Schizosaccharomyces pombe: one gene and its partner. The gene in region 2 interacts genetically with the main gene of each other region. Each region holds a gene or a part of one and is shown on either strand. Other genes may lie near its edges. The genes, in order: sir2 and mkt1.

The links.
Region 1: of mkt1 (region 2) and sir2, changing one enhances a phenotype caused by changing the other (phenotypic enhancement), as found in Schizosaccharomyces pombe (one study listed by BioGRID).

Annotation. Positions count from the first base shown.
Region 1 is NC_003423.3:3,608,518-3,613,421, forward strand, and holds sir2 (histone deacetylase, Sirtuin family, NAD-dependent Sir2), read right to left. Parts: upstream 3,170-4,904; 5' UTR 3,040-3,169; coding exon 2,856-3,039; exon of another isoform or gene 2,693-2,855; coding exon 2,630-2,692; exon of another isoform or gene 2,593-2,629; intron 2,589-2,592; coding exon 2,506-2,588; intron 2,376-2,505; coding exon 2,344-2,375; exon of another isoform or gene 2,259-2,343; coding exon 1,822-2,258; exon of another isoform or gene 1,758-1,821; coding exon 1,129-1,757; 3' UTR 700-1,128; downstream 1-699. Other genes in the region: plasma membrane ZIP zinc transmembrane transporter Zrt1, read left to right, coding at 1-599; heat shock protein Hsp104, read right to left, coding at 3,842-4,904. UniProt on the Schizosaccharomyces pombe protein: Involved in silencing within the mating-type region, at the telomeres, and according to PubMed:12867036 also within centromeric DNA regions.
Region 2 is NC_003424.3:1,015,377-1,021,139, forward strand, and holds mkt1 (post-transcriptional RNA stability regulator Mkt1), read right to left. Parts: upstream 3,678-5,763; 5' UTR 3,500-3,677; coding exon 3,493-3,499; exon of another isoform or gene 3,452-3,492; coding exon 1,354-3,451; intron 1,294-1,353; coding exon 990-1,293; 3' UTR 727-989; downstream 1-726. Other genes in the region: oac1 (anion transporter), read right to left, coding at 4,236-5,198.

The DNA of each region.
Region 1 (4,904 bases), on a different chromosome or scaffold from region 2:
GTGTTGAGCATGAATGTGTAAAGGATGACTTGGAAGAAGTAAAACTAGAACCTTATACGAATACTGATAGTACCGATTTGACTACTAAAGAAGAAGCTCGTAGTTTCTTACTAAAGCAACAACTTACTGCCTTTATAATTCTTGAATCTAGTATCATTTTGCATAGTGTTATTATCGGTCTTACAACTGCCGTCTCAGGTGAAGAATTTAAAACTTTATTTCCCGTCATTATTTTCCATCAGGCCTTTGAAGGTTGTGGTTTAGGTTCTCGTTTGGCGGGAATGGCCTGGGGCCCAAAAACTGCATGGGTACCTTGGGTGTTGGGCGTTATCTATTCGTTGGTTACGCCTATTGGTATGGCAGCTGGTTTAGGTGTTCGTGAGCATTGGGATCCTCTTGCTCATGGGTCTTATGCTGCCCAAGGTGTTTTGGATGCTATCTCATCTGGAATTTTGGTTTATGCTGGTTTAGTGGAATTACTTGCACACGATTTCTTATTTAGTCCTGAAAGAGAACGTAACTGGTATAAGCTTATTTACCTTTTGGCATGCTCGATGGCTGGTACTGGAGTTATGGCTTTGTTAGGTAAATGGGCTTGATTTGGTGGCTTTTTCGATGATCCGTGCATTTTATATTCTTCATTAAATCTGTTTTCTTCTTTTGAGTTTGAGTGTCAATATCGTTGACCAATTTCTAATTGTCCGTTTTCAGTTGTTTCTCTTTAGTATCGTACAATTAGATGCTTCATTGGTTGTATTGATATGTACCAATCAATCTTTCAATTTTAAATAATAATTGTGTCATTTTCACTGATTTACTATGCTTAAAAAAGTAGCTAATTTTGCATAGCCTATGAATGTAATTTGCTTCAATGTTCATTTACTAATTACACAGTCCTTGGTATTGTAAAATGTATTATAACTTGTTTTAATGTGTTTTCACCCAGTTTAGCAGATTTAAACATTAGGTGCGAAGAGAAAAAACAGTTTTTAACAATGGCACTTACAAAACTAAGAAGTCTCAAACGGATAATAAGTTAATGTCCAATAATCTGGCTCTCATACTCGATATATGTATATAATATATTTGCTTCTACATTCAACTTCGATAGATCGATCAGTCCTAAAATTAACAACTACCGTTTGTTGTGCTCGTGATATGATAGGTGCTGGGCTCCTCAAATTTTATATCCAAATCCGTTTCGAAAGCTCGCGTTTTGGAACCACTATGACACTCAGGTAAATCGCAAAGCGCTTGTAATTCATTCAGCCATCCAGCACGTTTACAAATCTCCACAATAACCCAATCACAATAAGGACTTAGAAAATTTACATCGAATTGGGTATGACGAACAGGAGTCCTCGAAATGTAAATCTGAGGAGTAGTAGGAGGAATAACACTGATGAGTTCTGAAACAGGAGCCACTTTTAAAGAAGTTCCAATACAAATTAATAAATCAGTCTCTTCAAGCTCACCACTCCCGACTTTGTTAAAGAAAGAATCCGGTAAGGCTTCCCCAAAAAATGTGATATCAGGTTTCATAATCCCAGGTTGAGCTAGATCATCTTCAGAAGATTCACTATCACCATCTGAAAAATAATGTTTCTCTTTTTTATTTTGACCGACTCTTCTTAATTTTAAGGGTGGTTTTCCGCATTCATTGCAGTAAGAAACTCTTTGATTTCTTATGTCTTCATATAACTCCGATCCATCCACCTTGTGCTTGCATTTGATACAAGTTGCGGTAGCAAAAGACCCTATATAATCAAATTAGACAAAATCACCAGTGCTCGAGATGCAAATCGGAAAATAAATACTTACCATGACATTGAATAATTTTGTTATCGGAGAGTCCAGTCTTTTTTTCCAAATTGTCTATATTTTGGGTAAACAATGTTGATAATTTATTCTTCTTTTCAAGCAATCTAATGAAGGCATGCGAGGGGGAATAATGATTCGTCTCCGGCAAAAGATCTCTAGCAAAAGTATAAAAAATTTCTGGATTTTCTCTAAACGTATGGATATCAAACATTTCAGAAGGTTCCGATAATCCATGGCGTGCCAAACGGGCATAAAAACCATTGTCTGAACGGAAATCTAAAATTCCCAAACTTGTACTTATGCCTGCCCCAACAAGGACGACAACATTTTTAGCTTTTTTCAATAAATTAACAACATCTTCAAAGGTATTAAAATGTGGAAGTTTGATTCTCCTAGCAACCTCACGTTTTAAAACTTCCTTCAGCAAAGGAAGTAAACTAATTAGCACGTTAGTATATCGATAGCAGATATTTTAAAAAATAAAAGATAAAAAGATAAGAAGGAAGTTAAAGAAAAGCATACTCTATGTCTTCAAACTCTTCAAGTGCACTAGGCTATTTACGTTAATAAATCTAGGTAAAGTCATAAGAAAACAAAACATGCAGTAGACCAAATTATTATTGCAATTTAACAAAAATAATCTGCTAATTTAATGTAATGCAAGTTATAAATCAGTAAGCATACCAAATTGATTCCAAGTTTTTTTAAAATCGATCGTACAGGCAACTCTTCTTCTATTAAATATTTCTCCAAGAATTTCGCATAGCCTACAAATACTAGTTAAAATGTAAATTAAGTAACTCCTTACCTGAAGCCCTTAAATATCTGACCATTTCGGATCGTTCATCCAAATCACTTATGTTTTCTGTTTCTAAGGAATCGTTAACTTTTTAAATAATTAAAATAAACTAAAGTATATGAAAAGCACATAGCTAACCTGAACTCAAAATCGTTGATCAATTGTAAATTTTGTAAATTCAAATAGACTTGCGCGTACCCTTGAAGGTATTGGAGTTAATAGTTGATATTCATACCTGGTTTATCCCATTCATCAGAATCAACCTCTTCATCCTCAGTTTCTTTACTGCCGCACATAATATCTACTAGTAAACTAGCACCGGAACTACTACCAGAAGAGCTAGGAGAATAACTAGCGACTGGAATTTTTTCCTCAACGGGAGTCGTCGGCATATTATTATCTAGCGGATTGGAAGCCATGACAGAGTTTGTATAACATGAAAATATGACTAATCAATTATTTTTAAGGAAGTATAAATTAAAGCTTCGTTTGAGAAAGGCAATGATCTACTGAACTGAAGATCTCTGGTTCAACTTTTCGATAAGTCTTATTACAATTACGAAAAGCTAGTCTCTTGTTTAGTGCAGTAAAGTTTCGTTAGCTTAATGGTATGCGGGCAACTGTGATCTCGTTATTTCCTGGTAATAATGGCTATTAGAAGCAAAGCACTGTATAAGTTTAACTATACAACTTGTTAATTTAAACGTTGCTTTGAACCATGAGAACTGGAATGCGTATTAGTATGCAATGCGCAAGTGTAGAAAGTAATGAAATGATATGATAGTGATTTACCAAATGTTAAAGTTAATCATGTAAATTCAATTTAAAATCTACTAAAAGTATGAGAGCTAATTCTGCTTTGATTTTATAAGGAATTACGAGCACTTTCTTACAAGCTCGACTTTCTTGAATGGACTGCATTAATTAATACCTACTAAAATAAATGGAGGTTTTTCGTAAATAACAATGGATTATTTGATAAATTTAAGATTCAATGTTTCATCATACTTGAATTGCTAATAACTAAAAACGATGTACTTAGCTTTTGTTAAATTGATTCTATCTATTCGATAAAGTTCATTGAACATTTTAATGAGAAAACAGTACTTCCTAAAAAGTTTATATACTATATTTTTATAAATAAATAAAATATATTAAGATTAAGCATATCATTAAACTATATCATAAAGTATCGTTAGAACTTTCTCATTTGAAATACATTTATTCCAATTCTTCATCATTAACATCGTCGTCAATACCATCCATGTCAATATCAGCAGAGCCGTTTGCATTAGCTTCATGATTTGGTTTGACAAATATCTTGCCATTTTGGACTACGACATGAGCAGTCTCCTTATCGCGAAGCTGGCCATTCAAAATTAAGACAGCCATGGGATTCAAAACTTGATTTTGAATGACACGGTTCAAAGGTCTTGCACCATAAGCAGGGGAATAACCAGCGCTTCCAAGAAGGTCTTTAGCTTCGTCGCTAACCTCGATTTTAATTGAGCGATGATTGGATTGAAGCCGTTTCTGAACCTCTAATATACGATTTTCGACAATATTGCGGATATCCACACGACGCAGACGATTAAAGATAACGATTGAAGAGATACGATTCAAAAATTCGGGACGGAAGAAGCCACGAATCGAGTTCATAACCATTTCCCGAGTGGTACTATCTATCTTTCCATCATCAGACTCATTGTCTGTTGTCAAGTATTCAGCGCCCAAGTTAGAAGTCATAATGATAACAGCATTCTTGGCATCAACAACCTGGCCTTGGCCACTAGTGATACGTCCATCATCTAGTACCTGCAAAAGTACAGTCAATACTTCTGGAGCAGCCTTTTCAATCTCGTCAAACAAGATGACGGAGTAAGGTCGTCGACGAAGTTGTTCAGTAAGCTGTCCACCAGCTTCATGTCCAACATAACCGGGTGGTGCTCCAATGAGACGTGAAACAGAGTGTTTTTCCATGTATTCAGACATGTCAATACGAATCATTGCATTTTCATCATCAAACATAAATGATGCCAATGCCTTTGTCAATAAAGTCTTACCAGTACCGGAAGGACCGCAAAACAAGAAAGATGCGATTGGTTGATTAGGATCAGAAAGACCAGCACGAGATAAGCGAATGGCGTTTGCAACTGCAGTAACTGCTTCATTTTGACCAATTACTTGTTTACTGAGAACCTTCTCCATGTTAAGGAGTCGTTCCTTTTCAGTTGTCTTCAAACGAGTAACCGGAATACCAGTCCACCTTGCAACGATTTCGTTG
Region 2 (5,763 bases):
TGGAAAATCAAACTATTATTTGATGGTAGCTTGCTGAACCACACGGGACATTGTGCTACGCCTTACAAAATGAGACTACACTAATAGCAGTTCATTAAAGTTAAGCTTAATGAACTCCACAGTAATGGCTTACGCTTGCTTAAGACTTTCTAAATAGTGTGTCAAGTCTCGCAATATGCAATGTAAACAATAAGTTACAGAGATTTTGATTAACTGTCAGTTACTTCAACTACTACCGTTTATATTTAAAAACTGACATTGTCAGAATTTTGTTAACTATCGACAAATATTATTAGATGTTAGTGTGAGAATTGGAGATTCTCAAAGCTAGCAAGTTGTCGTAAACAGCATCTATACAGTAAATATCTTAAAACAAAATTATACTATCCAGCTTGTAAGTGGTTAAACTAAGCAAGTCTTTCTGTAAGCACAAGGTTTTTAATTCGTGAAATTGATTAGGTAAAATTATGTTTCTGATGCGAATTCGGTTTTTTGTGAGTGAGCCAGTACACATAAACTAAAATCTAAAAAATCCGCTTGAACTTATCAAATAAGTTAAAAATTATTCCCATACTATAGTGTAAAAACAACGGTATAAGTTATTTTTTGACAGGTAAGTGTATTGCTAAAAATAAATATAGTATCCTTTAGAACAAATTAAACTATATCTATAAAAAAGTTTAAACATCATTGGGTTTTCATTCAAAGCTGTGCTTCTCTATTTTTCTTTCCCTTCCTTTTTTCGGGAAGAAACAATGTAGTTGAATATTAATATTAACAATACTTTACTTGTTCGAAATAATATCTCAACAATAATCAAGTGTAATCACATGAGTGTATAGCATGTTGAAAATGCTTCGACAGTATGAGGGAAAGTAATTCATGTAAATGTGCATTATGACTGTGCCGAATGTGTTAAAAGCTCCCGCTAAAAGAAGGATACTTCTCTCACTAATTTATTTCTATTCATAAACTACTAGTTCTGGTCTTCATAAGCCAAGAGAAAATATCCATTGGTTAGTAAGGAAGAGTTTACTTAAAACGAGCTTGCCAATGGCACTTGTATTTTCTGCTTCCTTAACCCCTTCCATAAAAGTTTTCCAGAATTCCAAAAACTGGGCAATATGGTTTTCCGCAGATCCAATGGTTGGGAATTCCTTTTCTATTATTTCATAAGCCTTCTGGATGTTTTCCTGTTGAGAACTGGCTTCTTGCTCTTTTGAAATGATTTCAAAAAAGCGCTTGACAACAAAACCTGAGACAAGGCTACCATTTATGTTTTGAAAAGGTAAGCTAAATTGGTTAGAAACTTTAAATATAAACAAAAAAGGAGAAAGAGAAAAAAACACGTACGTTTTTCGGATAAGTTTAGGATCTATTTTGCTTTTGTCGACGTTTCTGTTCAAGATGACCGAGGCAAGAATCATGGCCATGAGTTCCTTCAAGTTGGATCCGAAGCTAGTTTGTAGCTGATAAAACTGTAATAAATTCTCATCAACTATAGAAATTTTACTAACTTCAGGTCTCTGTTTTATTGGTAGAAATGTTGCAACCTTTGCCAAGAACTCTGTGGCAGAAGTTATGGATAAATCGGCGATGCTTGCACTTGAGGAGGAAAGTAAAGAGGGCTCTTTTAATTGTCTTAGTCTAAGAAGCTCGAATAAAACAACAACGGAAGTTTGGTTCTGTAAGTGACAATTTTCCAACGCTTTTAACAAGGGGCATCCCCAAGATGTTAATTGATGAGATGTTAAAACGAAAGATCTAATTTGCAAAAATCTGTAGCAAGAACTTAAGACGATTTCCGCAGTAGAAGACAGAGGATGCTTGGGAGGGTTTTTTATGCCAATATTACCTTCAGTGCAAAAGCTTTTCTTTACAAATACCGGATCGTTCAAAGCACGTAGTAGATCAAATAATACAACGGGTTCTTCCTTTAAAAAATTACTAGATAAATAACTCGGTAAGTTTTCTTCGTATATCATCCATGCTCTCGTATCATTATACAAAGGAGGATCATAGCTGTGCATTACCTTCAAAGAAGCTTGCTGATTATGGCCATGAAGGGAAACAATATCTCTGGCTTGGTAAAATCTGTTAAGCGGTTGGGTCAATAAATTTAGCCCCTGCGACCATATTTCTTCTAAATCGTCAACAAATCGCCGTTGATCCACAGCCGCTACAGCTGCTGCATTGTCGCGACCAGGATTTAAACCAGAATTAGCACCAGAAAATGTTCCTTGTGATGCTTTGTCACCAATATGTTGTTCAAGTATGGAAACAGGATCACTAAAACATCCAGATACTAAAGCACCTATCATTTTGCAAGGAATAAGACCGCGAGAAATGTAAAAATAAATCTCGTTGGGAAGACGGGTGCCAAAATATATATTTATGTCGTTAGGAACAGATTCTGTGGGAACTGGTGGTAAAGTGAGACCTTTTGTATCCATCACAATTCCAAACTTAGAGAAACAAACAGCCCTTTTGTACTGTTGAAGATAATCTTGAAAAATGGGCTGGGGAAAGATTTCAGCAAAATGAAGGACTGCACGATACGCAGAACCAAACATACGAACAAGCTCCATTGCGCTTTTAATTAGAAAAGTACCCTCAATCTGAGGAAATGTAGGAGAAATAGCAGTACCACACAATAAACAGGAATCGATGAACTGCTGCCATGAAAGGCCGTTCGTGTCTTGAAGAAGGGCATTTCCATCTAACCATGTGAATGAACTTTTAGCGGCCGAATTGATAGTTGTTTGAGTTGATGGGGATGAAGGGTCAGATGAGATTTTAACGTTAGAAGATGTGTTCATAGAAGTAATAAATTTTTTAACACCAAAAAGAAGCAGATCCGTGGAACCATAGATGGCATCGATGTAAGGTGAAGATGTGCCGTTTAGAAAATATGCTAATTGAGCCATAGCCAGATACGGGGCGACAAAATACTCCACATTACATTGATCTAAGTAAAACTTTACCTGGTCGCAAAGACGATCTAAATGATCTCGCTGATTGGTGTACAAAAGTGTTGGTTTACTTTCGCCGTAATTCGCAGGACCACTTGCGTCCATGCGGTACATATTACGCTGAATATTTGCATCATAAGGATCAAAAGCTTCGAAATCTGTCAATGCACTATGACTTTTTTGCTTTCCCGGCACTTCCAGCTGGCTGCTGGCTTCAAAGGTAAGAGGTATACCATTGAAAACAAAAATGGGTGTGATATTCTCAGTTCTCAACTGCTCAAGGAATTCCGAAATTCTGTGTTGTAGATATTCGGATTCACCATTTACTGCCAAACTTTGAAGTTCCTGTGGGGTAAAGGAATGAATAATTTGAGTCAAGTAAAAACTTGCGTCAATACCCAACTTACAGTTTTGAAAACTGCTCAAGCTAGATTTATGTTGATGCTTTTTGTCTATGATAAACAAATTCAATGAACGAACTAAAAAATTAGCAGATGAGTAGCAAGGTATTTTAACTTACTTGTCATTTTTTTTCTTTTTTTTAACTGAATTTACCAAACAGCAGTTTAAACCGTAAGGCGGTTTTTTTTTACTAAACCTTTAATAGATCCTTAAAAACAAACAGATTATTTTTATATGTAACGGATATATTCAGATTTTATTATGTTGTACTGAATAGAGGTGTCCGATCCGTTTATTAGAGTCAGCAGGAACGAGCAAATTAGTGAACACGAATACTACGATAAGAAGTTCAGAAAATATTTTATTAAACTAACATGATTTATCTAAAAAACATATAACTGTTGGCGAAATGTAAAGATTTCAAATAAAAACGACGCAAAATGAAGAAATTTATCCATTGTGACTACACAAAGCGGTAATGTTTCCAATCTTTAATTATAGAGAAAATAAGTATATTAATAACTAAATAAAAGGTAAGTTGATATACAAACGCAGCCAGATGCCTGAAATCCAAAAACAAATACGTACATATATTGAGATAACTGACGGATATATATTACAAAAGACAAAAACATGCCGATTGATCAAAAACAGCTTGAAAAGAAAAATCGACTTTTAAATGAAAGTAGAGTGGAAATAAGTAACGAGACAACGAATGTAAATAAAAATCGTTCTTAGATACAAACATCATTTCTTTACAATTTAACTGTTCACTTGATATACACCAAAGCCACTGGGGGTTTTTATGGTTTAGTACCAAAATTATTTATAAATAAAGAAACGTGCGTTTGAAAAAACAACTTAATCCTTTTGGAATTTCAAAAAGAGTTTATTGGTTTGCTCCACGAAGGTAAGACAGAAAATTGTGTGAGGAGCGATTCTGGCCAAGTGAGCACCAAAACCCTTATATAAGGCAAAGAATCCTTCAGAGCGGATTGTTTTAAGGATGCAATCAATCGGATTTTTATAAAGCTCCTTGTTCTTTTGGTTGTACATACGAGTCATAACAGTATCGAAAATTTGCATGGTGCAGCATACACCAAATCCAGAAACAGCACTAGCAGTTAAGTGTTTGATCATACCCTCTTCCAATAGATTGTAATGCTCAATCATGCGTTTAGCCCAATTATAGATAGGAAGCTGAACAGAGGAACCAGAGACAGTACGGAGAATGGCAGCATCAGCACCAACAAACAAACCCTTAACACCATTTTCCTTAATAATACGACTGAATGCATTAAATATATGCTTGTAACCATACTGCTGGCCAACGGGAAATTTAGGAGAATACGACTGCATGCGAGTCTTAACCAAGAAAAAGGGAGAGCCAAACAAGGCACCACATAAACCTGAACCGGCGCCACTTGCAACGTTAATAGCTAATTTATTACCCTTGGGATCATCAAGGAACCACGTATTCAGAGTACGTCGAATCGGTTCGTAAAACCCGAGACGACAGCCATTGAGGCAGATTTGATAAACATAAGCAGTACCAAGGCCTCGTTGAAGACCTCTTATACCTTCATGTCTAGCGATTAGAGAAAATGCCTGACCGACGCTTTTGTAAATTCGCTTAGAAGGATCCAATTTTGTCAATTGACCTTGAAGTTGAAAACGCGTTTTAATAACTTCGAAAGGATTTGTCAGTGTTACAGCACCACAAGCTGCAAGACCACCTGACAAAAATCCACTAACGGGACCAAGTTTTTTCACCTGAGTAGGATTGTGTGCAGGAAGGGCTTTGATAGTTTGTTTCTCAGACATGACTTAATATTGGGATTTTTTCTTCGAATTTAAACAAAAAAATCTGCCTCAAATGGCAATTCAATTTGCGTAGCAAGTGTTGGCCGAAGGAAAAAGAATTCTTGCAGTTGAGATTTTTTCAGTGATAATAGCCTTGATTAAATTGTGCGCGGAAAATTTACCATTGCGGCAATTTGGGAAGGCAAAACGTAACTTTCGTACGGACTCAAAAAATAAGCAAAATGATACTAATAAAAAAATTATAGATTGAATTGCAATTTTTTTATTTACAAGGCACCCTAATTGCTCTATACTTTTTCCATTTTAATGCTAAATTAAACAGGTCACATGTTACTTATGTTTACTATTTGAAAATACAGATACTAGAACGCACTTAACCTCTTTAAATTAAGGATTTACCTACAATCATATATATTTTTTTTTTCTTTCTCTGTCCTACAAATATTTGGTAGAATTTTAAAATTTTTTGAATAAAAGTCATTTGAAAGTTTGAGTAATGTTTGTCAACAATAAATGCGATCGTTCGAAGGAAGGAAGGTACACACAGTTAACATTTAACTGACTT